Linked DNA regions of Drosophila melanogaster. The gene in region 1 interacts genetically with each later gene. Each region holds a gene or a part of one and is shown on either strand. Other genes may lie near its edges.

Evidence for each region.
Region 2: of par-1 (region 1) and sd, changing one suppresses a phenotype caused by changing the other (phenotypic suppression), as found in Drosophila melanogaster (one study listed by BioGRID).
Region 3: changes in par-1 (region 1) and faf together harm fitness more than expected from each alone (negative genetic interaction), as found in Drosophila melanogaster (one study listed by BioGRID).
Region 4: of par-1 (region 1) and 14-3-3epsilon, changing one enhances a phenotype caused by changing the other (phenotypic enhancement), as found in Drosophila melanogaster (one study listed by BioGRID).

Annotation. Positions count from the first base shown.
Region 1 is NT_033778.4:19,464,806-19,472,274, reverse strand, and holds the start of par-1 (par-1), read right to left. Parts: upstream 4,810-7,469; 5' UTR 4,634-4,809; exon of another isoform or gene 4,462-4,633; intron 3,486-4,461; 5' UTR 3,305-3,485; coding exon 1,937-3,304; intron 1,679-1,936; coding exon 1,463-1,678; intron 1,404-1,462; coding exon 1,183-1,403; intron 1,067-1,182; coding exon 785-1,066; intron 724-784; coding exon 530-723; intron 1-529.
Region 2 is NC_004354.4:15,812,633-15,820,053, forward strand, and holds the start of sd (scalloped), read left to right. Parts: upstream 1-2,666; 5' UTR 2,667-3,098; intron 3,099-5,518; exon of another isoform or gene 5,519-5,886; intron 5,887-6,963; coding exon of another isoform or gene 6,964-7,049; coding exon 7,050-7,091; intron 7,092-7,363; coding exon 7,364-7,421. UniProt on the Drosophila melanogaster protein: Transcription factor which plays a key role in the Hippo/SWH (Sav/Wts/Hpo) signaling pathway, a signaling pathway that plays a pivotal role in organ size control and tumor suppression by restricting proliferation and promoting apoptosis.
Region 3 is NT_033777.3:31,775,005-31,782,315, reverse strand, and holds the start of faf (fat facets), read right to left. Parts: upstream 5,297-7,311; 5' UTR 5,134-5,296; intron 5,074-5,133; exon of another isoform or gene 4,752-5,073; intron 4,679-4,751; exon of another isoform or gene 4,565-4,678; intron 4,145-4,564; 5' UTR 3,851-4,144; coding exon 3,558-3,850; intron 2,957-3,557; coding exon 2,808-2,956; intron 2,754-2,807; coding exon 1,540-2,753; intron 1,414-1,539; coding exon 1-1,413. Other genes in the region: CG2126 (uncharacterized protein), read left to right, coding at 5,764-5,871, 5,934-6,067, 6,120-6,332, 6,396-6,568, 6,623-6,757, 6,814-6,965. UniProt on the Drosophila melanogaster protein: Ubiquitin C-terminal hydrolase involved in development and the imd/NF-kappa-B (IMD) signaling cascade. Required for eye and embryo development, and plays a role in compound eye assembly and oogenesis respectively.
Region 4 is NT_033777.3:18,239,209-18,249,657, reverse strand, and holds 14-3-3epsilon (14-3-3epsilon), read right to left. Parts: upstream 6,972-10,449; 5' UTR 6,813-6,971; coding exon 6,749-6,812; intron 2,226-6,748; coding exon 1,756-2,225; intron 1,688-1,755; coding exon 1,507-1,687; intron 1,444-1,506; coding exon 1,370-1,443; 3' UTR 1,079-1,369; downstream 1-1,078. Other genes in the region: CG7156 (uncharacterized protein), read left to right, coding at 7,600-7,695, 7,758-9,488, 9,548-9,766. UniProt on the Drosophila melanogaster protein: Positively regulates Ras-mediated pathways. Acts downstream or parallel to Raf, but upstream of nuclear factors in Ras signaling. Three mutants have been isolated, that suppress the rough eye phenotype caused by mutated Ras1 (sev-Ras1 v12).

The DNA.
Region 1 (7,469 bases):
TTGACGGTCTGTTTGTATGTAGAATTTTGAGGACAGAAAGTGAGAAAGAGAACAGAGAGTTGGGGGTTAATGCGGAACTCTGGGGATCGAGCGTTAACGTTTCCACTACACAGATTGCATACATTTTTAGGTGGACCCTTCCGCTCGTCGATCAGAAAGTTGACCATTAACATCAAGGTGTACGCACTACGCCGAATCGAGAGCGAATTCTTGGCACCGGTTTGTGACCCCGCAGCTATGTGAGAATTTACAAACAAAACACCATGAAGGTAATTGAATTTAAAATACAAACATCAGGATAACGCAACACTGGGAGAACCCAAGTAAAAGGAATTCTGTAAGCAACATTCAACTACAAAATGAAAACAAGTTGATAAAGAAAGAGTTTACAAAGGAACTAGTAGTATTACATTACATAAACAAAGATCGCTTGATAACAGCAATAAAACACAACGAGCAATTGGCAGGCAAAACTCCATTCCACACACAATTCGTTAATAATATTAGTAATAAATTTTGTATACAGTACCCGTCTTACCTATCCGCTTGGGATCGGCTAAATCGGCTTTGGGCTCAATATAGGGCTTGAGTTCGTCCTCCTCAAACCCCATGTTCATCCACTTGTCGCCCATGATTGTTTCCAGACTAGCACGCTTTGCGGGATTCAGTACTAAGAATTTGCGGAGCAAGTTTTCGCAGTCAGTCGACATATAGAAGGGAATTCTGTGGGGATAAGCGGTTTGGTTTAGTTCCATTTACTTTCATTTTATCTTGCAACACTTACCTATATTTGCCTCTGAGCACGCGTTCACGCAACTCCCTCAAGGTGGAGCCGTCGAAGGGCAGGGAACCGCTCACTAACGTATACAGGATGACGCCCAGCGACCAAACATCGACCTCCGGTCCGTCGTACTTTTTGCCCTGAAACAGCTCCGGTGCCGCATATGGCGGGCTACCGCAGAACGTGTCCAGCTTTGAGCCGGGTGTGAACTCGTTCGAAAAGCCAAAGTCAGCGATTTTGATGTTCAGTTCGCTGTCCAGCAAAAGGTTTTCAGCTTTTAAGTCCCTGTTATAAATAAATAATTCCGGTTAATAAGGTGCCAACTATAATAATGGGCCTTTGGTTTGTCCTAGCCTGTTTATATAAATCATCTGATTTTAATTAGCATTGATTACTCTTACCTGTGAATTATTCTTTTTTGATGACAATATTGCACGGCTGAGACGATTTGTCGAAACTTAACTCGCGCCTCCTTCTCCTTCATGCGTCCGTGGAGAACCAGGTAGTCGAAGACTTCTCCGCCAGATGCGTACTCCATGATCAGATAGAGCGTCTTCTCCGTTTCGATTACTTGGAACAATTTAACTATGTTGGGGTGATCCAGCATCTTCATTATTCTAACCTGTGGGCAGAGTACGATTAGTAAATAAGTCAAGGTATTCTTTTAAGCTAAGTACAAACCTCTCTAAAGAGTTTCTGTAGTGACCCAGGATTGAGTTGGGTCTTGTCAATTATCTTGATGGCGACCTCCTTGCCAGTGGGCAGGTGTTTCGCTAGTTTCACCTTGGCAAAATTGCCCTTGCCGATCGTCTTTATGAGTTTGTATTTGCCAATATGCTCCTCAGTAGCACGCCATCGCATAGGAGCACTACTCCGCATTTGCATGTTAGGCGAACCCTGTAAAAACAATGGTCAGGGGTAAGTAAAGTTATGTATTTTGGTGTGCATCAGGTGTCGGTTATAATTTATATATAAAACCCAACATTTCTGTGACAATCCTGATTTATGACCCTTTAAAAACCGCATTGCTAACGATTAATAGTTATATTAAATGCGATTTTAAACCACAGTGGTATTGCTTTCTCTGAACCAAATGATGAAAATTATATTGAAATATGGTAGATAAAAATGGATTTTGGTTTTTATCCCGTTTACCTGCGCAGCATTGTTGCTGTACACATTGCTGCGGTTTGCCACCACGCTGGGTACGCGGCTAGTGGGATGATGTCCTACAGGCGGGTGAGTTGAGGCTGTTCCTGACCTCGACTCGTGTCCCGAATGGGATCTTGGATCAACGCTGTGTCTGGTCGAGCTGGTCACATGCTCTGCTCGACTGGAATTGTACGGAGGAATAGGAGCCACAATCGGCCGGTCCGAACGTCTTTTCGAACTGGCTGCATTACTTCCTGTTCCCGAGGCACCAGATGCTCCATGACGATGTGAGGATTTTTGGGCCAACAAAGCTTCAAATTGTCGCAAATTCTCCTCACGCCGCTTAGACGCTGAAATGGTAGTGGCCGTAAGCTTAGATGGAGCCACTCCATCCACCACGCTGCTGCTGCTACCGCCACGACTGGCCGAGCCGGAGGTGGACGTGGTGGAGGAGGAGCTCCTGGCCGCCGGAGTGGGTCCAGTGCCAGCTGGTCGCCATACCGCTGGCTGTTTCTCGTCCTGCAAGTGCTGCTTCTGCTTAAAAGTGGCCCTCATGGCCAGCACCGTATCATTATTCTTCGTATCGGAGGCAGTACGTGCCAGTTTAGCCTTCACAGCATTTGCTCCGTTTGCGGCAGCAGCCGAGTTCTTGGAATAGGCTCCGATCGAGTTACGACCATCGCTGCCGCGCTGGAATTCCGATAACATCAGCTCATTGCTGTCATCCAGTTCTCCTGCCCGCCTGCCGCCCAAATACTGAAAATCATTCTCGGAGGACATGTCACTAATGCCCGGTCGCAGAAGGTTTTCCGTTTCACCGTAGCGCTTGCTCTGCTTGCGCTTGATCTCCAGTTTCATCACGTCCATCGATGATTGGGATTGTTGGTTTTGCTGCTGTTGCTTAAAGCTCTCCTCCACGTTATGGATGTGCTTCTCGATGGAGCCGAGGGCAAAGGACACACCGGCATCGTCTTCGGTGGACAGAAGGCGTGGCATTGGCGGCTTTTGGCGTTCTTTGGGCGTGGGATGCGGCTGTAGGGTGGGTAGAGCCGATACGGCTATCCTGGGCAATGGAGTGGCTTGGGCATCACGTCGTCGAAGCTCCACTATGCTGTCGTCTTCGGTGGCTCCATCGAGATCCTTGTTGGCAAGATGTGTTTGACGCAGTTCCATTTCCTTTTCCGTTTCCGGCAAGTTACTGCTGCTATTGTTGTTGTTGCTGCTGTGGTTGCTGTTCTGGTTACTAGATGGCGCCACACTGAGCTTGGGCGGCGCAGGTGCCGCCCCCTTGCGGGCGGCATACAGCCGGACACTCTTCCTGGTGGCATCGCCGCGATTCAAGTCAGGTGTTGTGGTAGTGGTGGCCTCCATAGCTCCTCCGTTTTGCTGCTGATTTCGGTTTTTCTGTTTTTTTTCTCTTAAATTTTTTTGTCGTGGCACTCTTCCCTTGAGTGTGTTGGTGCACAAGTACTTGTTGCTCGGAGAGATCGCAACTTTTTCTTTTTTCTTATTTCTTTTTCAAGTTGCGCTTGGCGTGTTTATTGTTCTTACACTGTGAGTTTGGGGAAAATTATTAAATTGGTCTTGGGGCTTCGGAAGTACAATGCAGCTCACACCGACAGGAGTAAGTGCTTGTGTGTGCGTTCGTTTGCATTGGGCTTTCTAAATTCTCAACGTTACTTTTGTTTGTTTTTTGTCGTCTAACCAACACACAACAAGTCGCAGTTGTTGCGCATTAAAACCTCGAAAATGAATTAAACACACAGCTAGCAACTTCCATTTCTACGTATGTACATATGTATGTACAGATGGGCGGACGGGAAGCGTGTGTGCGTGATATTTACGACAACAGGCGGACAAGAGCTAATCTGTCTCCCCGGTGACACTGAAATAAACACACGGCAGGCGATGTGGGGATGTGAAAGGGAGGGCAATATACCTAAACACACAATTACATACATAGCAAAAGAGAGTGCGCGAGAGAGAAAAGCGAAGTGGCACCTACACACCTGTGGTGGAGGTGAGCTCTTGTGCGTGTGTTTGTTTTCGGTCTCTCTCTAAATTGCTCTCTCCTATTTCTACTGCTGTTGCACAAGCTCAGCTGAGATGCCCTCGCTCTCTCTCGTGTGTGTGTCACGCTTTTCCTGTCCCCACCCCCACCCTCCTCTCCCACGCTCTCTTTTCAGTTTTATGATTCATTTGCCTTTTCGCTATTTTCCTTTGTTGCTTTTAATTACTGTCTAAATAGTTACGATGTGGAGATCTACAAGTATCTGAACAATTCGTCCGTACGAGTCGTTTAGTTGCTGGCTGGTTATATTCCATTTTTATTCGTCGCTGCTTCAGTGAGCAAAGCGAAAAGCTCCAATGCACACACACAGACACACACATGCACGGTCGCACCAACACATTGAAGCAAATGAACTACTTTTAGACAATTGAGCCGACTTTTTCACTGCTGAAAAACACAGTTAGGCTATATACATTGGTCGTTTGATAGTGTGTGAGTATTTTCTTTCTTTTTTTTTCACTTGGTCTGTGGACTATAAAAAATCACATTTCGCGCAAATCCCGATTATTAAAAGGTTCGTTTCGTTGGCCGGAGGAGTTCTTTAACCACACACGGTTATCTTATCGCAGAGGCACGCGGCTTTCGCAATTTTTCGCACTCATTTTACGTGGGGGTTTGGGTATTCGTACTAAATTATAGCTCCTCCTCTGCAACTCTGACGTAAACGTCGTCGACAGGCTACGACTACAACTATACGATTTACACCAACAAAAAACAGCAAAACACAGAAGACACCGAAAAACAAAGCTAAACAGGGCTCAGCAGCCAAAGAGCCACTTGGCCACTCAGCAACTGGAACTGGAGTGCCGGAGAGCGAGAGCGCGGAGTATTCCAAAAGCACGGAATCGCTTCGAGCAGCGACGTCGACTGCGGCAGCGGCGTCGGCCTTAATACACCAACACACCAGCACAAGCACACGATCAGTGGGCAGCTCTCTCCACTGGTGGAGCACTACTACCATTAATACAGTATCTCTATCCGTATCTGCATCTGTGTACTTGTTCTCCCACAAAGAGAAGCCCCGTTTGGAGCTCGAAAGTTTTGAGAGTGTATGAGTGTGCGAGTACCACTGAGCGTAACGCTGGGAAAGAAACTGTTAGCCGTGTTTGCTGCAGGGTTTAGTGTTCTGCGCATGTGCGCAATATATAAGTTCCACCAAGTTACGCAAAGCGCTTCTTCCCTGATTTACTGCGATTAAAGTAACATTCGGTTGGACTTTGGTTTTCTATTAAAATCAATCAATTACCCAATAAGTTCAACTGCTTCCTTTAAAGTTAATCAGTTGATTAGGTGATGCATTACGTAAGAGTTCTAAGTAATAAAACCAAAAGGACATGATGTCTGAAGTCTGAGTCGGAATTCTACGGTCGTCGCGAAGATTTCACTAATCAACTTCCCCCGTTCCCCTGTTTTACTCTATATCAATCACCAGAATACAAAGACCGAGGAATACACACAGTTTGGTACTAAAAATGCAATCCCGAAAGAACATTATTATGAACATCTTGTCGTCAAATAATTGTAAGTCATTTGTCAGCCGACACAATAAAATTTGTGAATAAAATATATAGAGACACGAGTGATACGACATAAACGAAACACATTAGGTATACTTAAAAATAAATAATCTGGAAAATAGAGAAACTCTCATTTTAAGATATCAAAAAGTGTCTCATATGAAATTCGATCATTCTGTCAATTTGTAACTCGCCAAGTTTGGTTTTAATTTATTCATACGAGGTATCAAGTAGCTGAGCCTGTATAAAGTGTCCGTATTAATTAAGCTAATTGAATAACTTGCAGCTTAATCTACATTAAGACAAGACAGCGAGATTTCAGTCAAGCCTTTCAGGTCCCAAACAAAAACATTAAAGATAGAATTTCATTTTTCGCATGCTAGCTAACAGGAAAATCTAATGAGGTCAACTATTATGAACTTGTCCTCCGGACAATGCAATCGTATAGTTATAGAAACAGAGAGCCCGTAATCCCTATAATCCCCTAATCTTTAAACGTATTTGCGTTGGGTTTTTATGTAGCACTTGTGCGATTAGACTGAAAATATATATTAGTTTCCATATGGATTATAGGAATTCAATGTGGGGTAACAAAAATCTGAAATTAAACAAAATCCGTAATCAAAATAATAGAAATCGTTATTCATTCGATTGTGGAAAAAAAACCAAAAACCGTGACAGATACAGACAAAAACGAAACAGCGATTACGATTAGATTGAATGAAGGTGGCAGCACAACAACGATAAATTTGCAATGTTCATAAATGAATGGGGAAGTGTGAGAGACCGACAAACTTTAATCACAACAAATATAACCTTATTGCCCCACTCTTTTGAAATGAAGTAGCAAGGTCAAGTGTAGTTTTGCTCAAGAGCCTAGGAAAGTTTCTAAATCACATAATTGCCAATATCGCAAGCTCCCAATATAAATCCTCCTATATCTTCTATTATATTAATTATGCAATAGTATCTAACGGGTTACCGTTACCGTCGATGGATTTCGATAAAATGTAAGCAACCATCGATAATATCGATAAATTTATATCCAATATTACATACCCTCGAGTTGCGAGCCTTGTCACTGGATGATGCCGACTCCTTGGCCTTGGGCCTTTCCGCCTTACTGGTGGCCACAATGGGCAAGCCGCCGTTTTCGATCATTGTCACCACAATCTTATTGTTCCGACTGCTTACGGTGCCACCACCACCACCGCTTGCGTAGGATGAGTTCGCCGCCGCAGCTGAGGCTGCATTTGTGGCCGCTAGATTCTTCTGCCGCAGGGCGTTCGATAGCCGTTGCTTGCGTTCCGCTCGGGCCTCCTCCTTTTCCCGCTGCAACTTGGCAATAGTGGCGGGCGTGTGGCTCTTGGAGCGCTTTAGAAATCTCATCAGTTGGCTCTTAACATTGGTGGCGGCACTTCCATTTCCCTGGCTTGTGGCATCGCCTATTTCCTCTGCCCTGCTGGATCTTCGGGATATTTGAGCCTTGGTGGGTACCTCCAGGCGACGGAAGACCCCATCGGCCATTCGGACGAAACAGCCCTCCGACATCTTGTGAAAGGAGTCGGATGGCAGTTTGTGAAAATCGCCATTGGGACTGCGATAGTAGCAGTGATCCGTCCGATGATAGCCATCTCCCACAATATAAAACTCATTGCGCCCCTCCTTGGGCGCCACAGCTGCTGCTGCTGAAGCCGAGGATTCGGCAGCCAGGTCGTCAGTCTTGGCACTTCGATCCACGGGCAGTTGGAAGGCCATTAGTTGGGTGATGCTACTACTGCTCCCACCAGCAGCATCCTCTGCTGTAATAGGCAGGACACTACCCGAAGTCCCCTGCCCGGTATTAACTGGTTTCAGCTCACTGATCGTTACCGGACGACGTTCCGGGTTCTTGCGCATAATGCTTCCATTGCGCAGAAGTGAATCTCGCAGGAGAGAGAGCTCATCC
Region 2 (7,421 bases), on another chromosome or scaffold:
TTTTTTTTTTTTAATTTTGTTCTGTTTTGTGTTTGTAATATCTGTATGGGAAAGATTTAAAGAAAATGTATCTTAAGATGTGGCCACTTTTTTGTTTCACCTTCTCGCTCGCTCGTTCGTTTGCGCTCTCTTTGGTCTTTTTGTTTTATCTATTTCTTATATCTATCTTATAAACAGTAGGCGTGTGTGGGGAGGGGAGGAGGGCATCGCAAGATATGGACGTGTGTAGCTTTATAAGCATAATATCCTATGCCTCTAGGTGGCACACCAAAAAAAAGAAAAATGAAAAAAGAAATCAAAAAAATCAAAATTTCATAAAAATACATATCTAAATACAGATGTACATGTGCTTGCACACATGTGCGTACGCTTTTGCACACCCATAAACGCGAATACACACATGTGCACACACATGCATGCAATTAGAATTGCACTTGTGCAGAAAAACAGACTATTTGCTTAGGCCCCAAGCAGATGAGAAAATACACATGTACGGGATACCATCGTCATCGTCATCGTCTTCTTCATCACCAGAAACAGAATCGGAATTAGAATCAGAATCGTCATCGCCTAGGAGCCCCATCTCAATTACGAGCTTCTCCATTAACTAACGAAGTGTAGGAAAAAGTCTAAACCAAACCTATCCCATCAATAGTTGGCTCTCCGGTGGCCATTCTTCTTTCTTCATCTTATTGCCGCAGCTGCGCCTTATTTCCACTGAAAGGCTTACTGACACATTCTCACTTTCACAAAGACCACGATATTGTACAAAGCTGCTCATACAAAATACACAGTTATATATATATGTACATATATCGGGAGAGCGATGAGAGCGGGAGAGCGAGAATAGAGTGAGATTGAGAAGATGCAGATGTGTGTGTGTGTGTTGCCTGTTTAACTTTAACGGAATCCGAAAAAGATCTTTCTCACTTCCTAAGAACTCCGAACCAATTCATGAATTATTGCAGATGTGAGTAAGTATTGCGAGTTTGCATGTGTGTGCACGCGTAGAATCGAAAAGTAAAGTAGTGCAAAAACAAGTATCGAATGAGCCACATAATCCAAAGCGAAAGGGTTTCATTTGTTCGGTTTTCGTTTGAAAGTCAGCACAAACCCCCCGCCCCCGTCAACGGACCCGTTCAAAGACGCTGCCATAACTTGTACACATGTATAATATAAATTAACAAACCGCTCCATCGTGTTATCAACGACATAGATAATAACACGCCCAGCGCAGAGCCTGAAAAACTGAAAAGCTGAAAAACAGTTACTGTTACAAGCTAATAATAATAACAAGAGTGAGTGCCTTGCCTTTGACCAGCCGGAGACGACAACAACGTTTGATGTTGTTGGTGGAGACGGTGACATCAGAGTCTAAATCTAGCGCGAACAGATTTCTTTTAATTCCGTAAACTAAGTGGACAACGCACCGTACTCGTACCGCACTCGTTCCGTACTCGTTCTCGTACTCGAAGTCGTATTCCTATTCCTCCGGGCGGGCATACTCGTGAATAGCGAAACCTAAAGGAAATCTACGAAAAAAAAGCTGGCTGCATGAAAAACATCACCAGCTCGAGCACTTGCAGCACTGGGCTGCTGCAATTGCAGAACAACCTGAGCTGCAGCGAGTTGGAAGTTGCCGAGAAGACAGAACAACAGGCAGGTCCGTTGCCCATCCGAATTACCCAGTCATACAAAGACACACCTCGTAAATCCAAACTCTATGCCATAAACCTACAACTCCACCCCCACCCCACACACCCACTCCACATCCAGCGCCCAAAAGTTTGTCGATCTCTGGTTTTTCTTTGGTGACTTTCCTCGTGGGTTCTCAATGCAAAGCACATGCACATGCATGGCGGGTTTTCATTTGAGAAAGTCACCCGAAAACGGAGACCTGAACTGCAGGGCACCTTCTCTCCATCGCTATAGAGTAAACTCTCCACCCATCTGCACATATCTCATACATATCGTACATGTAAACCATACATACATACATACATACATACATACATACCCAAATCTAAATCTAAGCGTTCTAAATCCGAAAAGAGAGGGCAAGCTGCCACCAACTTTCGATTGCCAAGATGAATAATTCAATGGATTAGTCAGGTTTAAGATAACACAGTGGTTCTTATAAGATGAATGGGGGGGGGGGGGGGGGTTAGCTCGAAAATATTTTGCCAACCGAGCGGATTTCGAAAAGAGCTTTTCTCGCATGTGTTGTTCATTTTGCACAGCATTGCATAATCTTATTTTTGGCCAGAAGCTTGTAAATGCAGTGTGGGAGACAATTCGCAGCACAAAAAAATCATATACATACGGATTTTGTCGATCTGGATTTTGGCGAAATATGTTGACATGTCCACGCGATCTGCTGTTTTACGATATATTTATTACCTCAGTTTAAGAGCCATCAACTTGTCTGCTGTTCACATATACATAGATACACATTATGAAAAGATATATGTACATATGGACATATACTTTTATTTTTATTACTTTACTGGCAATAGTGAGCAACGAAGACTAATCGAATAGCTGAATGTCCTATTGGAATCATTAAAAAAAAAAACCTGAAAAAGATTTGGTATACTTGTGGGCATTGTTTGCCACAACACTTGTTCGCAACTTGTCGGTTTTAAACAAAAACTTTCAAGCAAAACTACAATAATTCACTTACTATTTTTACTTCTGAATCGCATTCTACGAAATGAATTTTCTAAATGAGCTGTGTATATTTACAATAATATCGTAATACCTTTCTGCAAACAACGCAACTATTGATAAGTGATAAAAGAAAATGAAGTGAAAACAATGAAAAAGTCAACTTGGACAAGCCGAACACCATATACTCTACGAGTTACAACCAAAATGTATTACTCACGTTGGTATATGACCAGTTGCTATCACAGCTATGGGCTTCTGTAGCCTACGGAATGAGTATGTCATGAGTCATTGGCGAATATCTTTAAGAGCAACGAAAACATATCCGATTGTGATAAAGTTAATCGCAGTTACTTAAAAAAAAAAACAGCAAGCTCAGCCCATTTAGTTGACCGATCGTTCTTATGACTGCTGCGTTACTTACTCAATAAGTAAGTACTTACTCAATTTCCAGCATATCAATGAATGATAAATTTGAAGAACTTTTAGCAAATTATGAGTTCTTTACACAATTATGGTTTTCTGCCTTAAATTTCCTATGTTAAGTTAAACGTACGTAATTTTCCAACAATATTTGAACTATATAAACTTCAAAAGGCTTTCGGAAAATTTAAAGTTTAGTCACCTGTTTTAGCTTAAAATATCCTATATCCGATCAAAATCGTAAATATATCTAATGAACCATTCTAGTTTTCACTTCCTTCGCACATTTGTTGTCTATTTTCTAGCTGCCTGTTCTTAAACACTTGCTCTTAGAAAAGTATTTCGTAATTTCATTATTCCTTTATGTTCATTATTAACATTACCTCACATAATTTCATTAAAAGCTAAGAGGACAAAAGATTTATTATTAATTATTTTGTCGTTGCACCTCACAGAAATTCCTTTTTAACCTTTGCCAGGTTGCAAATTCGTTTGTGCTGACTTCTAAAGATTTTCGGCAGCAGAAAATGGGAGTGCGTTGCTTTAGGGGTTGAAATAATGAAAGGGCAGCGCACCGAACTCTATATGCCCTATGAATAATCAATGAATTAATACGTGTACAGTGTTTCGCTTAAGACAGTTTAAGTTCTATAGTGCAATTGTGAATAATTAAAATTTTTTACAGATCGTTATGCTGATTGAAAATATATTTGTACACTTTATAGGGTTAGAATCGCCACCTTAATTTCCTATAAAACTCTATTGACTTGGGAATAATTTGAAGACCTAAAAAATGATCTCTACATCATGTGTATTGATCTGTATTTTATGTAACCAAAAGATTATCCTTTTGATAGCACCTTCACACGAATATAGGATATATATGCTATACTAAACATATTGTCAATAATTTGATAATGCATTGCACTGTCCTTTTATATTATTTGTCACTAAAAAGATACGAACAATAATTTTTACCTGTTACGGTTTTCTGCTGAAAGTCAAAGTGCGTTTGGCTGTGTAGGGATTGCGGATCCCAACTTTGATCCTGAGTGCGCTAAGTACGTCATCATCGAGCTCCTTACCATCCCATCCAGGCACATTCTTCGTTTATATATGTATGTATGTATATGTATGTATAAGCGGATATATATATATGTATGTACATTATGTATGTGTATGCGACGGGGCATACATAAAGAAAATGAAAAAGCAGAATGCATACCATAAATTCCAATTGCCGCACAACAAAATTGCGGCTTCTAAGGGTAGGAATGGAAAAGGCAGGAAAAAGAACACACATTCCCTTATTAAAACCGAACAGAACTGAACAGAACGAGCAGCTGCGTGTTGAGTTTTCGAGGCGGAAATTGAGTTCAAGCGTAGGAAAGTCTGTTTCTAGTTTTTCTAATTGGAAATTATCCCGAACTGAACCGCTGCTGTTTGAATTCAGAAATTCTGAAATGCCATGTGATAATATTAATGCACGGTTCAGCTATTTTGTCCGTTTCATTACACTCCTTTTCGTCCTTTTGTGTGTGAGTGTGTGTGTGTGTGTGTGTGTGTTTGTGTGCGTGGAGTGCTTACGAGATTATGAAAAATGGCACATTCACCCCCTAAAACGATCCCAACCCCTGCACTGCGCCATGCATTTCCAAGCTGTGCAATATGCATTCTACTTTTTTGATAGCCAAACATACAGTCGTTTCCGTTTCGGGAAATTCTGGTATTGTGCCTAGGATAGAACTGGGATCGAACTGTCCCGACTTGTCCTGGATACTGGCGAACTGCTTCCATACGACGCCATTCTATTATTAACTACACCCATCTATACCATACTTTATTAAACTGAACTAAGTCCAGTTTCTTCTTAATATAGCAGATTAACTATGCAGTACTATACCATTATTTACTCTACTAACTACCATTGCAAGCTACATAGCTGACTACAAACTACTATTGCCTATTATACCATATATTCCATACCTTACACTATAACATTCTATTCCTTATCATATCATATATGGATACCATAGCATACCATGCCTCTGATCCTTGATAGTGTTGACTCGCCCCCTGTCTGAAGTTCCGTAGCACACCTTTACCTATGCTAGACTATAGACTATACCATACCATACCATGCCATACCATACTATACCATACCATACCATATCATACCCCTGCTGACCCAGACTCTCACTTGACGCCCCACACTGCAGGCTGGCTATTTGAAGGCTTCTACTTCCATTCTATTTTATTCTATCAATAGTACGCTGCGAGGGTATGTGCCACACTGCATTCTATCCGCTGTCTCACGAATACGAATGCCTAGAGCAACCATCCCTATAGGTTTATATGGGCGAAACACCAGGGGCAGAAAAGGAACCGGCCAAAACAAAGAATAGAAATATGTGGAAACTATACGGCACATTTCAGTTTGACGTGCGCGTTTCTCTTAACCAGACGCATTTTAGTTTTTGTTTCTTTGCCGCTGCCGTCCGGGATTGTTTTTTTTTTTTTTCACGCTGTGTGGAAGAAGCAAGGCGAATACAAAACAAAAATAAATTACAAAATAATTGAAATTATAATGATTCGATAGATATGTATATAGACTCGTACGTGTGCACACTCAGCAGTGATATGTTTGACTGAAACGATTTTCTTCGTATTCGAAAAAAAAAGAGCCCATAAGAGTTTTTTGAATCTTATTTTGGAATATCACCAGCGATATCGGCTTTACAGTGGCGCCCTTCTCAAATCATTTAGATTCCCTCGAGGAATTCAAGGAGTTATCGGGTGAGTGGATTGGCATCTGATGCTCAATTCAGTGGGATATATGCAGATGCTTTGATTCTTTTGAAAATATTCAAATATACCTAAATCTTATTGGTTTCTTTCTTGTCATTCGAGTTTCAATAATGCTAAAGCGTTGAACATTTAATTAAAATCGACTAAGAGCAAGAGTATCTCGACTCTTTGAATACTCATTACCTTTTTCAAAAAGTTTTGCACACTCGCAAGCGTAATGTTTATCAGCACTACAATACTATTTGTCAATTGAAAAGTACTATTTTCGAATTGAAAAACCATTGCAGTCTGGCTTGCCTAGTAATATAATAGAGTCTATCCTCTGTACCTGTTACATGGTGTTCCACAGACACAGCATACCCTCGAATACCCTACGCGAATACACCATCCCTTAGCTGCGCCAAATATTTTTCATCGAGTCCACCGTCCACCGGGGATGTTCGAATCCAATCCGCACTGCTTAATGCCGTTCAACCCTTTCCAAATATTCACTAAACGAAAACGTAAACAATGGTGTGTTGAAACTATTTAAGTTTCTATTCATTTGCAAAGAATTTTAATTTGCTCGTGGGCGCGGAGGCAATCGCCAAATGCGTTTCCTTTCCAATGGGCAGAGAAGTTGGGAAATCTTACTTTTTATGTGTGGCGAAAGCTTCAATCTAATTTATGAACAAATCCACTCGTTTTTTTTTAATGCGCATAGTACATACATTTAAAGCAAAGATTATCCATTTTAAGATGGAGTATCTTTGTAATCATCTTTGCTTTTGATTGGATTGTTTCAAATGTTTCATAAGGTTGAGGAAATGGGAGTAGTTATTCATTATTTGCAAAATGTTTGGAGATTATTCCTATTTGAATTTTTCTATTACAGATCTGAGATCCTTTTGGGATATTTTCGATAGTATTTCAAATTACAATAATGTGTAATGTAATGTACACTATTTTTTTTGTTATTCTAAGGTCACACTTTCATACGGCATACGTCAGTTCTTAGATGTGTGCTTTGGCATTTCTATCATTCGTATAGTAAATATTTTATTTAATTTTGCATAATGTTTTCAGTTGGACCCGGCACCATACCATCACCGTGGACACCAGTGAATGCCGGTCCTCCAGGCGCACTTGGATCGGCAGACACAAATGGCAGCATGGTGGATAGCAAAAACCTGGATGTCGGTGATATGAGCGATGTAAGTTTGCTTGTAAAGATTAAGATCAAGTCGAGGGACTGCATTTTGGAATATTTTTGAACAACGTGTTTACCCAAAATCGAATCAAATGTTTTCTTGTTTCTAATTGAGAAATATTCTTTTTTTTTTGGCAATGTTTATGCTGAACTATAAACTTAAAGTACCTTGTAGTGTAAACAAAGAACGTAGCACTGTACGCCAAAAACTCTCAAAAAAATGGCAAATCTATTTATCATCTCTTGAATGCAAACAAATTTTCCTAAATATTCCAGGACGAAAAGGACTTGTCATCCGCTGATGCCGAAGGTGTATGGAGTCCAGATATCGAGC
Region 3 (7,311 bases), on another chromosome or scaffold:
GGCCGTCGAAGTTCCCTTGATTCGCTTAAGTAGATTTCTCTTAAAAGCGGCCATCGTCTCGTTGCTGTGTGTAACGATCTCCATGTCGTCGATAGATCTGCCAGGGTTCTGGAAGCGGATATATAAGATGGTGTTTTTGCCCCGTGTAACCCGGCTAAGTGGCAGGTGAACACGATCGCCGCTGAAAGAACGATCACACTCCTTTACGTATTCTTGCAGCACCTTTAAAATTCGGCACATCTTCTCCGCCTCGATGAAACGCATTTTTGAATCTTTAGACTCGTCGTTGGTATTATCCGACTGATCGGGGGCATCTAATTCCTCTTGCAGCTGCGTCTTGCCCAATATAACGATATTTCCATAGTGTGTGCGCAGGCGGGAGCAGCACTCACCAATGAACATTTCATGAAACTCTGCGATATTCTCCTGCAGACGTGGGCCCAATGCCGTCGACACTTCCTTAAGTAGATCAATGGCCTTGCTGGCGATTTCCTCGCCTCCAGTTGTAATGACCCGCCACAAGTAGTCCTTTCCTATTAGATCCTCGTTGTCCAGCATGTAACCTCTATGTATCGCCTTCAGCTTGTCCTCTTTGGAATTGACAGCCTTAAAGAAGCGCTCAAAGCACTTGATTCCGCTTTCGGTTAGTAGATGCGGATCAAGTTGCAGGATGTTGTTCTCGAAGAAGTCTTTGTTTATGCCAGGATCCAAGTCAGGCTCCTCACCCATCAACTTGCCAAACCATCTAAAACACTCCTCACGATCTGCCGGAAAAACTGCATTGACCGCCAAGCAATGCCAAATCTGCTTTGCCTGATCTGCGCACAGCCATAGCTGTCCATCTTTCAGCAGGAACTTAAGGAACTCCAGTCGCTCCGCTATTTGCACGTGATGCGGAAATCTTCCGTCAATTAGGATTCTGGTTGCATCCAGGCCTGGTGAGTCCGTTACCATTTGGCGTACCTTTTCCATGTATGCAGTCAAACTATTGGTGACCAGAATGACCAAGGAATAATCATTCTGTAGTCGTTCAATCACCTGCTGACGATTCGTACTCGTTTGAGTGCGCTGGGCATGATTTGTCGTGGTATCATATAGGCAACAAATATCCCGGATTAGACGCAAGGCGGGCAGAACCCATCCATCGCCTGACTTAAGTTCGTCAACGCACTTATCCAACCAAATGGTCTTTTGGGCATCCCGCTCCTGCGAGCAGCTGTAGTCCAAGATTTTAACGTGTGCGCCCAGCGCCTGATCAAGCACCTCTGGCGGCACCTCCTGACTGTGGGCCAGAGTCCAAAACAGCTTAAGCACCTTTTGGGCCATCACACCATTTTTGTCATCCTCAGCCAAGCGGCGTATTAGCTCAAGAAGTCTTTCCCGTTGCCGCTTATTGGCAGTGGTCATGCTGGCCTGAAATAAAAATTAATATTGTTTTCATTGTTCATGAGATTTTATATACAAACCATCGCGGAAAATGTAATAATCATAATTTAAAACTTAAACTTACTTAATACACTTTTAAAGCAGAAAACTCACCTGGAACGCCTCGAAGAGGTGATCCAGTTGCTCGGGAGTAAAGTCCCATGCAAGTTTGGCCAGTAGATCGTGAACGTTCTTCACGATTGCCTCGTGTTTGCCGGCCTGCGCTCTCCAAACTGCATCCAAATCATCCAACGTTAGTGCCTGCTCTTTAATAAGAAAGCGGATGATCTTTTCCAATTTTTCCACATACTGCGGTTGGTGTAGCGAGTCCTTGAGCACGACACCCAATACATCTGACGACTTTATCCATTGCGCCATGCGATCCGCCGTCAGCCAGTCCATTTCGTCTTCGGGCATACAGTGGGGCAAAGGTTGGGATCGATGGGAGAAATATGCGACCGAGGAGAGCACCTTGTTGATCTCATTAAGGGCATTCATCTTGCCGTTGAAGCTGGACACCTGCAGCAGACGCAGGATCATCTTTAGGCGAAACATCTCAAGATCTCGGATTAGCTCCTCCTGGCCAGTCAAGCGGCTGGCCAGTAAGCGGGCTGACTTTACAATCCCATTGATGTAGTCATTGCGTCCCTCAGGTTTCACTTCTCGCTTTAACTCCTCGTCTGTGAAGCTGTCCAGAAGGTCTAACACAACGTTCCAGGTGGGCATAAAGTACTTGGCTATAGTGGCAGGCATTAGAAGCTCATAACATTGACCGAATGGACGCAAGAGGCTGTGTATGAGGGCAAGGGTGAGGCGATTATCCTGAGCCCCATTTTCAACCCTACCCTCGACACTAATATTCTTGCCAGTGCACTTGTTTTGGTTGCGCTTCAGCAGTTCCAGTCCGATGTTAAACCGTTCCAGTAGATTGTCAAAGCCTCCCAACTGTCCGAAGCGGTTAATAAGATCCACAAGCCAGCCACGCGCATTCTTGGGCTCCGGCGGCGGACGGGCGTACATTTTGTTGCTGTCCAACTGACCCCAGATGTAGTCCGGCGCTGCGAAGCACTCCGGTTGACGGCCTGCGTTAAATGTGTTGAACTTGTTCTCCGGATCAAAAACAATAGCCAGCAAGTCAAGCAGATAGGGATTGTCTCGCTGCATGTGGATGGCGATTAGATGTAGAAGCTTGCCGCAAGACACAAGGATACAGTGGTGGATGTTATTCTTCCACGAATTCACCGCCTCGTCGGTTAGGATCTTGGCAAAGGAAGTGCTCAGTCCATTGCGATAAAACTCCACACATGGCTCGCAGTCGTGATCCACACCTGCAAATAAATTGACTTTAGAGGGTATCAAATAAATCGTTTGGACACACTTACCAGCCTGGGTCAGTTCGATGGCTGCATTTAAGAGAACCTCCAATTCCTGTTCAGGCAGCACCGGCACCACCCAACGCGGATTGGATATCTTTTGCGTTAGTGATCTCAGTTTCGTCGTGGGAAACGAGGATATAAGCTTCTCTGGAGGCCTATTTAATTAAATGGACAATTATTCAATATTAAAAATAACAAATTAAATAATACACATAAAAAAAAAAGTTCTTAGGGGGTCAATCAAAGCACACCCTTCCATAAACATTTCTGTTTATTAAATGGTTATTTCTATTAAAATAAATGCCAAAACGCATACATTTTTTTTTTTTTTTTTTTTGTAATTTTCAGTGTTAGCTTATTTTGATGGACAAGCGATAAGATAGGCCGTGGACGGGCATTCAAAATGAGATAGTAATAGCCGGGTAAGGTAATATTAGTAAAGCTTGGTAAGTTCATTGCTAAAACTGGACAGCAGCCAAGTGCACCTATCGAAGAAAAAGAAAGATAACATTTATTGCCACATTTATGGTCACTAACCAGTGGCCTGGCCAAAATCATCTGAAACATAGTTAAATGAATTACGAACATTGTGCTGGCCCAACCATAGACAAACAAAGAATGCATGTGGAAGAATTACTACGCAAAAGTAAACACACGAATGTTGGGGATCTTTAGGGGTGGCGGTCATACTGGTGCTACGCACAAAACCCGACTAATTGGGCGGAGTCATGCAAATACGGCAGCACGACCACTTACACTATTGTGATGGTGCTGTCCACGCTGTTCGCTGACAAGGAAGCGGCCACGTCATCAGAGCTCTGACTGTCTGTGGCCGGCTGTTGATCCTGGTTGCCGTCCAAGCTACCTGATCCTCCTCCTGGCAGACTCGAGTTGGCGACTGTTCCTGTGCCTGTTCCTATGCCCGATCCTGATCCGGCACTCTGCGCCGGACTCGTTGTGGTGGTTGTTGTGCTGGTGGTGCTGCTGCTTGAGCTGGGCGCTGTGCTTCCCGGCTGTCCGGTGGTGTGCCTACGAGTGTCGAACGTCATGGTGGCGGGGTATCCTCTCCAGCCAACTCGTTCTGCGGAGCACCGGAAGCGGATGTTAATGCACGAGCTCTAGTGCCGGGCTAATCCTAATGCGTTCTGCAGTGCGCGTCGTTTTTTGACTGGTGTCTTATGGCAAATGTGAGGTATCCGGGCTTCTGCTTGTCCAGTTTGGGAGTTCCCCGCTGATTTGCTGTTTCTTGAGGCACAGTTGGTCGGTTAGTTGGACTTCTTGCTCTGGGCTCCCTCTTATTGTCCTTTTTCCCAATGCCTGGTCAGCGGCCAGTTTGCAAAAATCTATAAAGTGCAACGAAGCGAAAGAGGCAATAAGAGGCGGATAAATACAGCGCTAAGAGAGAGACCGAAAAGGCCCACATGTGTACGAAGCTCAGTTTTGGGTGTGTGAGTGGTCCTGCGTGTGTGTAAGAGAGCGCTGGGTTGGAATATGAAAAATCAATATTATTTAATAGACGGGGCAGCAAGCGCCAAATAATGCTCCAAAAGCACACAAATTACGCTCTCACCCACTCACACGCACGCACGCTCACCCACAGAACCCTCTCTTTTTGTGTGTGCGTTTGAGTTTAATTTAAAATTGTTTTTGTTTTACGCCTCGCTCTTCATTCTTATTTATTTATTGTTATTTTTTTGGGCAAACAAAGAACATTTTCCTGCCGAAAATTACATCACGTCCAAGTTTACGGATTTTGCACTCACTCTCTATCTCTCTCCGCCCGGCATCATCCTTAAGCGGAATGTCGGTCGGTGGGTGGGAGCCACTGGTGGAAAAAGGGGCGGGGAAAGGGTGTAGGCGAAGGGTGGTGAAAATAACTACGCATAAAGTTATAGAAAGATGCCAAAATTAGCGGTTCATTGGGTGTGTCGAGGGCGGTAAATTGCTCACATTCTTTCTATAGCTTTAAAAGTTGTAAGAGATTAACGGAAGTCACCCAAGGACGGCGGCCAGTGCGGCTTTTTATTATTTTTCACTGTTTTTTCACGCGCACACACACTTCCTCACGCGCACGTACATTTATTTTTCGCAAATGGAATCGAGCGAACTGACGACCGAGTCCCAACTTTTCGCAGGCCTCAAAATGGGCGATTGCTCTTCCTTTCGCCTTTGCTCTGGACAGCGGGGAGCCCTTACTTGGCTGCGCCACTCGAAGCTAGTCGCGGTAACTATTTCGCGAATATTGAGCTTACAAATCAGCCGGCCAATAGACAAAATGGCGTCTGCCGTTGCTGTTGTTCTGCGGTCAACTCCAATTGCCATTGCTTTTTACCTGCCTGCCCGACGGCGAAGAGCTGCGTATCCTGCGAGCGTCGCGGTTGCGGCCACAGGGTTTTTTCTACCCGCTCGTTGTCCAATTCGCGTTAAATAAATTATATTTAAGCTATTTCTTTTGCTAGGGTTGTGCAGTTCGGGCGAACTAGTTATGAATTGAACCGGTTCGCGCGGTGCTTTTTACCAGAGTTATCAGGCCATGCCAAAAGCGCGCCTATCGAACTGGTTTATGTGGTACATATAAGGGACCCTAAATTTAAATTTCTGGCAATTGGGATTTCAAATAAAATCAAATCATTGAAATGCACTGTAAGAATGTACACTCTACTAGTCATGTTTAATTGTAAATAAATATATAAAAACATATAGTATTATTAATTTGATCAAATTAGAAAGCAGTCTTAGGGCCCATTATATAATCTGTAGAAAATAATTTCCTTATTTTTAATACATTTCGCATGTGCTTCTGATGTATTATCATTTTATAAATTAGTATTAATTTAAGTGCACGAACAACCTATTCGTTTATTCAGTGGTCCTACTGATAACGATAAGTCCGATATCGATAGGAGTATTGTTTTTATTTTGTTTAATGTAATATACAATACGAAGTAATTGTTTTGATTTCATGAGAATGTACGACGCGTTGGAACGCTGCCCAGGAGCCTACTGTGGGCGATCACCGCTAGGAAACAACAGCTGGAGCAGCTGCGGGGTCTGTCCCAGAGGATCTCGGGTTAATGTTCTAGCATCCTTCGGAACGGCGCCTGGAAAATAATTTACTTTTATATTGTTCAGGTGAACCAAAGTTACGCATGCTCTCCATGCCGCGACGAGTTAAGCACGTACTCCTGGCTATACCTGGGATTCATGACCATGCTGCCACTTATGATGCACTGCTTTTTCATTGACATGGACGCCAAGGATCGCAAGTGAGTGAACTAATCAAACTGGAAGAAGAACTTACTTAGTGAATTCACATAGGTTTTCGCGGAAGCAGCTGATCTTGACGGCCAGCGCTTTCGTTGAGGTTGCCATATCTGCCATCCTCGCCACCTTGCTAATGGAGCCCATGTGGGAGCTGCGCCTCTACGCCTGTGATGTTCGAAAACTTACTGACTGGTACACATTGTTTTACAACCCCAGCCCCAATTATGAGGCACGAGTCTACTGCACCCAGGAGGCAGTTTACCCATTGTAAGACCCAGCCACCCAAGGCTCCAGGTGTTCACAATAGTCACTTTAATGTTCAATTTCCAGGCAAACCATCGTGCTGGTTTTCTACTTTCTGTGCCTGGTGAACATGTTTCTCATACGCCCGCTAGTCAGCAAAATTATGGATGTGGGGGGCAGAAGCAAGGCGCCGATTTACTCGGCTCTTTACTTCCTGCCCCTGCTCACCTTTATCCATGCGTTAGGATGTGGGTTGATCTGTGAGTACTTAAGTGCTTGCTAATATTTTGGTCTTGAGATCTTTTCTTTTTCAGATTACTCCTTTCCGTACCTTAGCGTGGCCATATCCATGGTAGCCAATGCCATCCACTATTCCCTCAAACTGGATCAAACCCTAAAGGCATTGGTTCACTCGTCGGTGTGGGAGTTAAAAAACGTGGTCATCATAGGTAAGCAAAGTGCGCATTCACCATACATAAAGTATACCAGCAGCTTACTTTCCCAGCTGTGCACTGGATGTTGTTGGCCTACGGCCTCACCTCCCTGAATTACCACTATGCCTTTATGTGCTTGGTGCCCTTCCCCACACTGTTCTATATTTTGACCGTACGTTTCACGGATCCTGCCGAGTTCCGGGAGCTGGAGTCGAGAATTTGATGCGGCGACGTCCAGATGCAAATTTTTCACGCCCGGGGAACTCGTCGATCGACTGTTGTTATCTATGTGTAGTGTACGCGTCAATTAATTTATTTACATTTAGTATGTAGCTCAGACTCAGACCTGTTCCGAGTATAATTGCGGCTCTAAAAGCCGTTGAGAAACAAATTTAGGAGCAGGTCTATTTAGTGTTTTCGTCGCACAAGCTTAATTCATTCTTCGTTCTTTTCGTTTTAATTATATTTCACATTAATTATACACATATAGTAATATTAAATACAAATCATCAGTTTCCCATCTCTAAAATAGTTTTTACACAATACGTATTGCTACATATTGGATTTGG
Region 4 (10,449 bases), on another chromosome or scaffold:
TCTATATTATTAATATGTTTCTTTGTTGCGCAAGGTAAGAGATGATGAAGAAAATTGTTTGCGATTGCGATGGAGAACTCAAAACGAAAGGCGAAAAACAGAAATCCACCAAATTCCCGTTCGATTGTTCGGTTTCGTTTCATGTGATTTGACCATGCATGGGTGTGTGAGTGTGAATATGAGTGCGAGTGTGAGAGAGCAAGGAAACGCTAAGAGAAAACAAACGGCTCGTATGCGTAATATGGGTGTCTGTGTGGGTGGTGGGTGTGTGTTAGTCTGCGCGTGTGTGTGTGTGTCTGTGAGGGTGTGTCGGTGTTATTGAACAGTACACTTACATACATACAAATTTAAGCTTAAGAATTCGTTTTGAATTTCGCTTAACTAACATTCCTTTTTCTCATTTAATATAGTTTTTAGCTTTTTGCGTCTTTCATTCTGTTTGCTCATTTCGTTTCGTTTACTCCATTTACGTTTTATTCATGTATTAAATTTAAATTAATTGCTGTATTTTTTCCTTACATTTTCGACTTTATGTTTTACTTTTACGTTTGCGCTTATTAAATCGTTTTTCATTTTTATTACCTCGTTCTCACGTTTATTATTGGCTTAAAATTAAAGTTGTATTTTACGTGTTGCTGTCGTATTTAAAGTTTGTTTTAAAAATTAATGCATGCCAACTCGATGAAATTTGCTTTGTGATTTACTCTCGTGTGATTGTTTCTCAATTTTCGTTTAGTGTTTCGACTTTCGTTCTTTTTCTGCTTGTGCTTTAATGTGTTTTGTGGTTTAAATGAATTTTATTTGTTTCGTTTTTGCTTCTCATAATTAAATATAATATTTATTCAAATATAATAAAATGCTTGGTTTCTCGAATGCAAAAAATTCAAATGTAGTAGACTTGATGTTGCAGTTTTCTAACGTTAAGGAGCCAAATTGCGAAGCGACGCCAACTTAATAGTACCGCGAATTTTTTATGTTGCGATTCGATTCTGGGCCGCAGCAACAGCCGCGCCACGCCCACCAGGCCGCCCAATTTTCAAACATTTTGCTTGGATAGTTGTTTTTTTTTTCTGTTTTTGTGCTGTTGTTTTCCATGCTGTTTATTGTGGATGACAATTTGTGTTCCTGCTGCTTTGCTTGCTGTTATCATGTTGCAAATATGTTGATACACATACGGGTGCTGCTGTTGTGGTGATCGACTGCTATGGTTGTTGTTGCCGCATTGGTTCCATGTTGTTGTTCTTGAAGTTGTTGTCGTGTTGTTGTTGATTTTGTTGTTGTTGTTGTATGCATATATATTATATGGTATTATATTTACTTTAGAAGGTATATAATGTGTTTTAAATGGAAGGGCGGGGGTTTACTTAAATTACGACACGTCCTGATCCTCAACATCCTGGATTTGCTCTTTGGGCTCGCCATCACCTGCGTTGGGGTCTACTTCTTAGTATAATATTTAGAACTTAATAACGGAGCCGAACAAGTGGATGTGATATTACAACTTACCTTCTGCCTGCATATCGGACGTCCATAATGTGAGGTTGTCGCGCAGCAGCTGCATGATGAGTGTCGAGTCTTTGTAGCTCTCTTCGCTCAGTGTATCCAACTCGGCAATGGCATCATCGAAAGCGGCTTTCGCCAAGCGGCAAGCGCGGTCCGGCGAGTTGAGAATCTCATAGTAGAACACCTGCAAGGATTTTAAAATATATATATAGAAAACATATGACGACATCGTGTCTCTTCACAATCACTCACCGAGAAGTTCAATGCCAAGCCCAAACGGATGGGGTGTGTTGGTGGCAGATCGTTCATGGCAATATCGCTGGCCGCCTTGTAGGCAATCAGCGAGTTCTCTGCCGCATCCTTGCGGTCGGAGCCGGTGGCGAATTCGGCCAGGTAGCGATGGTAGTCGCCCTTCATCTTATAGTAGAATACTTTGCTTTCGCCGGATGTGGCGCATGGAATGAGATGCTTCTCGAGCACGTTCAGTATATCCGAGCAGATGTCGCGCAGCTCCTTCTCCACCTGTCCGCGGTAGGTTTTGATCATCTCCAATTTCTCCTCGGCCCCCTTGTTCTCCTCCTTCTGTTCGATCGAGGTGATGATGCGCCACGAGGCACGGCGTGCTCCAATCACATTCTTGTACGCCACCGACAGCAGATTTCGCTCCTCGACGGTCAGCTCTACGTCCATGGAGGCGACCTTCTTCATGGCCTCCACCATTTCTGTAAAGAGGACATAACAAATGAAAGGTGTGGTCTTTAGTATATAAGAGTAAATGTTTACAATAATCAAGTGTAACATCTCAAACCAAATTTAAGGGATTGCCCATTAACTAACGATTAGTTTAATCATTAGTTCGCATATATGTATATTCATTCTGCAATGCCTAAGGAAAATATACATCATTAAACAAATACTTCATTTGAGTGAGTAAGAAGTAATGTTTATGATGTAGTTTAAACAATGCTATCGGACGCTATTTTATCAACAATTTCGTAGAATACAAATGTTTGTTTGATTGTTCATATAATTTTTGAATTGCTTTCATATATTTCATGTTAAGATTAAAAATAAAAACCAAACATTTCAATTGGAAAGCCAACAAGATACATACATTATATACATTTTGCGTAGATAAATTTATCCAAGGTATGGAAGGCTTGTTATCTGGACTTTCCTCCCGCTTGTCCTTGTCCCCTCGCGACAGCCTAGACTACCTATTTTCCATTTCTTATCGCCGACACGCCCAATCCGCGATGATATATAAGTTATGCAGATATATTTATGCATAAGGTGGCGTTGCGTCTACGCCTGATTTAGCTGGTTCTGTCATACCAATACCAATACCAATACCAATACGGGGCCATCCAATCAGCCGGTGATAAGGGCTTCCGCCACATTGTTGCACCCAATCCTATCGTCCCCATCGGGGGCATCTCTATCTGCGTCTGCATCACCATCTAAAACTGCGTCATGAATCACATGTTCGGAACTCAACACGGAAGCAAACAAGGAGCTCGTTTATCAAATTAAAGTGAGTAGGTTAAGAGCTGATATCATTTGGCCATTTCATTTCCTTTTTCGAGTCAGTCAATTGAAGTCTAAATATATTTCGAAGTTCATTTAAATGCTTTTCGGGCATATGATTAGTATTTGGAATTATGCAAGATTAGTTTTTGATATCTGACCAAAGGAAATGTAAGATATTTCCGAACCAAATCATCTAAATTATCATTGCAGTGCTGCCTGTCTGGGTAAAGCCAGTTGCAGGCTAACTATCTCGGGCATATCTGGTGGCTGATAACAATACAGAGCTAGACTACACTACTATTCAAAATATTGTAATTGTAGCGCGTTTGCTGACTTGCACTGTCTGCCCTCTCTCGCTCGCACCCGCTGCCCGTCAGCTGCTGACGTATTTCGCACACCAACACCCCCATACATACACACACACTAGCACTCACACACAAAGACATCGGGACATTTGCCGACTGTCTGCTTATTAGTGCGATTTTTGTTGTAGCACGTATTTGTGAAAAATTGCCAATAAAGTTGCATGATTCACGAATATTTGTGGCTGTGATTGAACTTCAAACATTGTTGTTCGCATTGGCGGGCTGTTTGAAACCAATGTGGATGATGATGTGCACACGCATTTTACAACGCTTGCAAGCTATGCTGAGTTACGCATAAAAAATGAACTTGAGAGTGGGTAGGGAGGGGGAAGGGGAGGGGGAGCGCAGTTGGGTGGTGAAGGGTGGCTGGGATCCTTGCAACTTTAAAAGTATACAGCACATGTTGCTTAGTAGTAAGTAATCCACAACCAATTATGAGACATGCGCGTCAGACCAGTCACTAAATCATGTACATATAGCAAGGCGAAAATCAATAAACGCGTCCCAAAAATAAAGAGCCAAGTCCCGCGGGCATGATAAATCATTTGCGGAACCACGAAGTGGTAAAAAGAAATGTATGGAAACTTCTCGAATCATATGAACTTTCAGTAGAAAGTGCAAAGTTCACGAAAGTCTAGCAAATTTGGCGAAAATAGTATGGAATAGATTCTAAGTAGATTCGTGAGTAGTTGAACTACATTTGAAAAGTATTCATCTTTTTTATTATAAAAAATGATTAATCTTTTTCATAAACAAGTTGATTGCAAAGATGAGCGTGGTCATCTCAATTGTGTTGTTTTTCCAAGAAATAAGTATTGGAATTTGATAAACTAGCGACAACCCTGCAAAGGCAATCCACCACCACCCAAAAGTAAAAAGAAGTCACGCGAGCTGGAATGAAATATTGGGACGAAATAGGGAGCAAAAGGAATGGGCAGGATTTTCCACCCCCTCCTACCAACACGCCCCCAGAGATCCACCCCTCCCTTATGAGACGCCTGTGGGTGTGTCTTGCGCTCGTGTGGGTATGAGTGCGCGTGGTTTTGTGTGTGTGTGTATGTGTGTGTGTGTGAGTCGCATAAGGGCGCAGCAGCTGAAAAAACATGCGCACATACCGTTACAGCGGGCAGAGAATGTGTAATTAGACAAAGGAAGCAGCAACAACAGCCCCTAAAATGGTGCAATTTGAGCAAAAAGCGAGCAACAAACAAAACACACCTAACACCACCGCCACCCACCGCCCATCAATCAACCGTATGTATGCTACTTTTTCCACTCATTTTTTTTTTGTCTGCCTTTTGCGCATATTGACGACATTGACGAGAACGAACATCAACGGAAAAAGCAGCGCGCGACCTCGAAAAAAATGTAGATAGAACGCAGAGAGCGCAAGATGGAAAGAGCATGGAGCGGGGGATGGTGGGCGCAGGGGGCAGCACCTGAGAAAGCACACTTAAAGGCTGACGTTAATGTGTGCAGAAAAGGGGAGCAGGGGTTTGAAGAGGAGATGAGATCAGGGGCGGAGAGGGCGAGGCAAGTTCAGATTGGGGGCGCAGACATTGCCGGCTGGCGGCTTTGCCGCTCCGCTTCGCTCTCCGCCGCGCTCTTTCTCTCTCTTCGCGCGCAATGGTATTGGTGCTCCAGCATGAGCTCCACCGCAAAATGTCCGAGTGTGACAAGGCCAACGCCAAGTGCTGCACACCAACGCACACCGATGGGCGAAAATAAGAAGACAAACATGTGATACAGACACAAATATCCCCACCAGTGGTGTATGTATGCATGTATGCCCTGTTTGTGTGTGCTAATAGTTGATTGACTTCTTTGCCGCCGCCACCGCCCGTTAATGTTGTCAGTTTTGCAGGCAATTAGGTGCAGAGTACCGTTTGCAATTATTGTTGCTATAGTCGCTGCCCAAGTACAGCAGCAGGAAGGAACGGCAGACAGAGGAATCGCCAAATGTTTGTTAACTTTTTACAGCCACTGTGCAGCGTCGCCGACACTTCGACACACTAGCCATCTCGTTTTGGCGCACGCAGCGTTTATGGCAATTGGTTAAGCGCGCGCTTTTTGCAAATGCCGAATTTGCCGTCCCCCTCCCACTGCGACTTTCTTTGCATTTTGAGCTGGCTTTTTAATTAATTGGAGTATTTTTAATTAAATATAAGCAAAGGCTACAGAAGAAGCAACAATAAAAACCGCCCGGCGGACACTCATCGGCACACGCACACCTCCGTACAAACACACACACACACGCATGCATACATGCGCATAAGCATGAGTAATGCGAGAGTAACAGAAGAAGCACAGAAAAATTTTATATTTCCTTTTTTCGCATTATCAGATAGGGTTGCCAAGTGGCCGCATAACTGCTTGCAACTAGCCGCAACTAATTTGCATAAATAAAGAATTAAGCAATAGGCAGAAAGTGAGAGAGGGAGACAGCCGGCGACACAATCGATTCATTCATCGATTTTTCGCAGCAACGGCATGGTGACGACGCCGCTGCTGCGCATGAAAAGCACATTTCGTGGAAAAAAAGGGGGAGGGGGTCTGAAAGAGAGGACTGCACCTACCCCTGCCCCACAATCATTGATTTTGGGTGTGGAATAAGTGTATTTAAGAAACTAGAATCCCCAAAAAATGTGTCGTTTCTAGAAAGTTACGCCTTGACAACTACTAAGAAAGAAAAAAAAAGAACGCGAACTGGAATCAACTGCAAACAGCCCTTAGCAACCAAGGAAGAAAATAAAATGCTAGCTGCCGCGCAGCCCTTGCTCGCAACGCCAAATACACAAAATTTTCCCCTTCTAAACTAATACTATATAGTTCCAAAAAAGAAAGAGCGGAGCAAACTATTTGCTGTAAATTATAATACGCAATTCCGTTTCTTTCTCTTTTTGTGCAAAACCACGCGAATTTTTGCCGGTAAAAATCAGGTTTTACACTCTATTCATCTCTTTTCGTTCTTCCGACGCTCTGCTTCTTCTTCGGCTTCTTCCTCTTCTTACTGTTTCCTCCATCTCCCGTTCTTTTCGCAAGAAATACTACTCATCGCGACGCTGCGTCGCTTCGAATGCAGCTACAGCGATGAAAATTGAAAATTTCCATCGTTTTCTCTGGAAGAAAACCTTTTAATTGGCACATTCGGACGAAAAGCGGAGCTCTAGACTTTTTCAACGACCACGCGACGACGCAATGGATCGGGAAGACAAAAAAAAATCCCAGGCGACCCCTCCCCAAAAACGTTGGCGCTCCTCAGTCGAGAAAATTTTTTCCCTACTCTACTAGCATTTGTCTACCGTTTTCTACCATTTTTGCTACCATTTTTTTTCGGAATCACTACTCACCGTCGTAGCGCTCGGCCTGTTCGGCCAGCTTTGCCTTGTACACATTGTTCTCGCGCTCAGTCATTGTGTTGAAGCCTTTTCGGTAAAATTAATCCACAGAAAAAATTATTTAAATGCTCCCGGTACGTGCGGCGTCGATTTTGCTTGCTGCCTGTGGTTCGTCGCCTTCTTTTTTCTCTACTTCTCGAGCGGTGTGACCGTATCGGGCGGCGGTTGAAACACTAAAATTGATGGGCGATGGCCTAATGACGGACTTAAAAACGCATCACGCGTTCCGTGCGCATGCGCAAGCGATGGTGGTAAAATCGGAAAAATTTCTTTTTAAAATGGTATTTCTATCTGGATATTACTTGTGAAAATCCGTTTGTGTGAAGCTTTTATTCGGAAGTTTTAAAATGTTATAGTAAATTGACACATTTAAAAAAGCTATAGCTATAAATATGTTGTATTAAATGAACACATGAAGCAATGTCGTTAGCAGGGACTTCCACCTTTTCTGTGCAATTCAATTTGTCATTAGTCATGACATAACCCACATGCACTGCAGACTATCGATACTTATGATACTTTCGATTAGAGTATAAATTTTAAATTTTAAAATGTGACCGTTTTTTATTTTAAATAAAAGTGTTTAAAAAACAGTTAATATTTTTATGGTTTAATTTAATCCTTCTAAGTTAAAAAAATAAGCTACTAAATGCTCTTATTTAATTTCGAAGTCCGGAAGTGGTTATTTTGGCGTCCTTTGGTCACACTAGCTTTAATGTTGCAAAAAAGTTGGGGAACAACGACATTTGATATGGGAAATATGTTTAGAAACTAAACCACCAGGTCTTGCAGCAGAAACCAGAATGACTCTCAACCTGGGCGGCTGGATCCACAGCTTCACAGTGACGGACACCCAGGAGCACAAGGGCGGGTACACAATATACAAAATCACCTCGATTGTAAGTCGTTTTTTTTGGGGGCAGATGAACTGTTCCAAATAGTAAACCTCACCCACTTTTAGGTCTTCCCAAGGTCGGTACCTCAAGCTCTGACCTGCCTGGTGGTGTGGAAACGGTTCCACGATGTCAAGCGGCTGCATCGCGAGCTTAGCCGGCGCCACAAGAGTCTCCAACTACCCGGCAAGTTGCCAGTGCCCACAGATAGCACATATTTCAAGAGATTCGATGCGGCAGTCATCCAACGGCGTAAGGAGTACATCCTGCAATTATTAGACTTTGCAGCGCAGCATCCGGCGCTGTACAAGTGCTCAACCTTCACACAGTTCTTCCAGGAGACACCCTCGCCAAACGGATCGCCACTTAAGAAGCTATATGTGGAGCGATCCCTGCGGCTGCAGACGGAAGACAATGGCTGCGGAAGTGGCGGTTCGGAAACAGGAACTTGCGCTGGTGCCATAGCCGACATTTGCGATAAACTAGACTTGCCCTATGACCCACACGACGCGGGGGGCATCACGCCTCTAGATCCGCGCTGTGATAAGGAGCAAACGAACAACGAATCCCAGGCCAAAGAAACTGAAATCGAATTAGAAACGAAACAGGAGCCCAAGACAGACGTAGCGCTGACCAAGAGGGATTATCTCCGCCTTCTGACGCCCATGGCTTCCATAGAAAGCGACGACAGCGACTACATATATGAGGCGGCTCTAGAGTTCAGTCATGCCGTCCAAGCGGAGGTTAACCTGGAGTATGCCGAAGCCCACGAGAGGTACAAGCATGGTGTGGACCTGCTGCTCAATGGGGCCAAGCAGGATAGCAGTGAGGAGCGTAGATTTATAGCCAAGGCGAAGATAGCCAAATACTTGGCGCGGGCTGAGGAGATTCACGCCAATTTCCTGGCCAACGATTGTCCGACGAAGAAGCTGCAGTTCCAGCTCTCGCTGGACACGACAGACGGCGGTAGCGTGAGCCATTTGGAGTGCCCCTGGAATCAGTTGGCACGCTACAAGGTGCTGCAGATTCTCCAGGACCGTGTGATGCAGGTGCAGTGTGTGACGAAATCCCAGCAGCCGGCTGCCATTATGAAGGGCGTCGAGAAGCCGGCCAGTCACTCGCTGACCCAGAGCATCTTTCTGCCCCAGCAGGTGCCTTACATGGTCCAACTGCTGGCCTACTTTCAGTCGGAGCAGAAGATTTTTCTGCTACTGCGGCAGGCGGAGGGCGGCATGTTGTACGATTACCTGCAGAGCTACACGCCCACGAGTAGTAAGAGTGTCAATTATGGAGAGCTTTTTCCCTCGGACCAGGAGCCGGAGGAGAAGGAGGCAGAGGAGCCACCTCTGACTTCGGACAGCGATGTCAGCGATTTGGTTCGCAGCTCCCAGCAGCTTTTAAAGTCCGTAACAAACACGCTGAGCAATTTGCAAGCGGGAGTCGTTACACCCAAAAGAAATAAAAAGGTGGATCAAAATCGCATCCGAAGTAAACCCATTCCGGAGCAGTGCCTGCGTCAGTGGGCTTGCGAACTGGCCATCGCCATACACAGTCTGCACGGCAAGGGCGTTATTCTGCGCGATCTGCACATGGGCAACATTTTACTGGGCGCCAAGGGACAGCTGCTCCTGACGTATTTCTATCAGAACGAGGGTCTAACCTCGGACGACAACTATGTGCACAAGGCACTGAACTTGGAGGCAGTGGCTAATCACTTTGTGGCACCAGAAAGACCGCTCACTTTTCGCTCGGACTGGTGGAGCTACGGCGTGGTGCTCTATCAGCTTCTGCTGGGAGTTGTAAGTTTTGAGTTCTCGATTGAAAATGTTTGGATAATAGCAATCTGCTTTCTTTCCAGCCCTACAAAGTCACGCATCCCGGGCAACTGGACCTCTATGGTTGTGTTCAGTATCCTAGTGAGTCGTTGGAGATTTCCGATCATGCCAAGGATCTGCTGGAGCAACTGCTGCAGCTTTCTCCGGAGCTACGTTTGGACTACGACCAATTGCAGGCTCATCCATTCTTCAAAGGCATCGATTGGCAGGCGGTTTTGGAGCAGGGAACTGAGTCCATGTGAAAATAGGCACTATTTGCTTTGCTATTGAGTCCGTAAAGTATTTTCTTATTTCGTACTGTACCTGAAATCCCATTTGTGATTCCTTGCTCAGTTCTGATTGGCATTGATTTTGATTACTTTCAAAGAATCTGAAGTCGCTCCATAGCGATTAATTATGTTGTGAATCTGCTATATTATTTTCTATGCATTACTTTTAATACTTGTCTTCGAAAACAAGTGTATTAACCATCAGTTTTGTTTTTATGAGTCTTTTATGTTGTTCCTTTTTTGAATTGGAAGCTGATCAATTATTGGTACAAAATACGATTTATTTATACGTCTATTATATACATTTGCAAAGTGTCCTAGTTTATGTAATTGCTTACAATTAGAAATTAAACTAAATTGAATGTAGTTGTAACAAAATTTGCAAGCCATTTTACAAAATTAGTAAGTAATAAAATTTGTAAAGCCAAATGAGCTAGTATACAATATAAAAAGCACTTTATTGTCTAACTACAGCAAAAACAGCAAATGGAACTTAGTCTACGAGTAGAATAACTAAAACTAAGTTTGTTGGGCAACGAAGCTTTCCAATTTGGAGGGAGGTCACTCGTCACCCGTTTTGGTAAGGCACATTTGGAATGCATTCTGGGGGCGGGGCTCTCGTTGCAGAGCCCCTAGCCCTAGATTAACCTAGACTT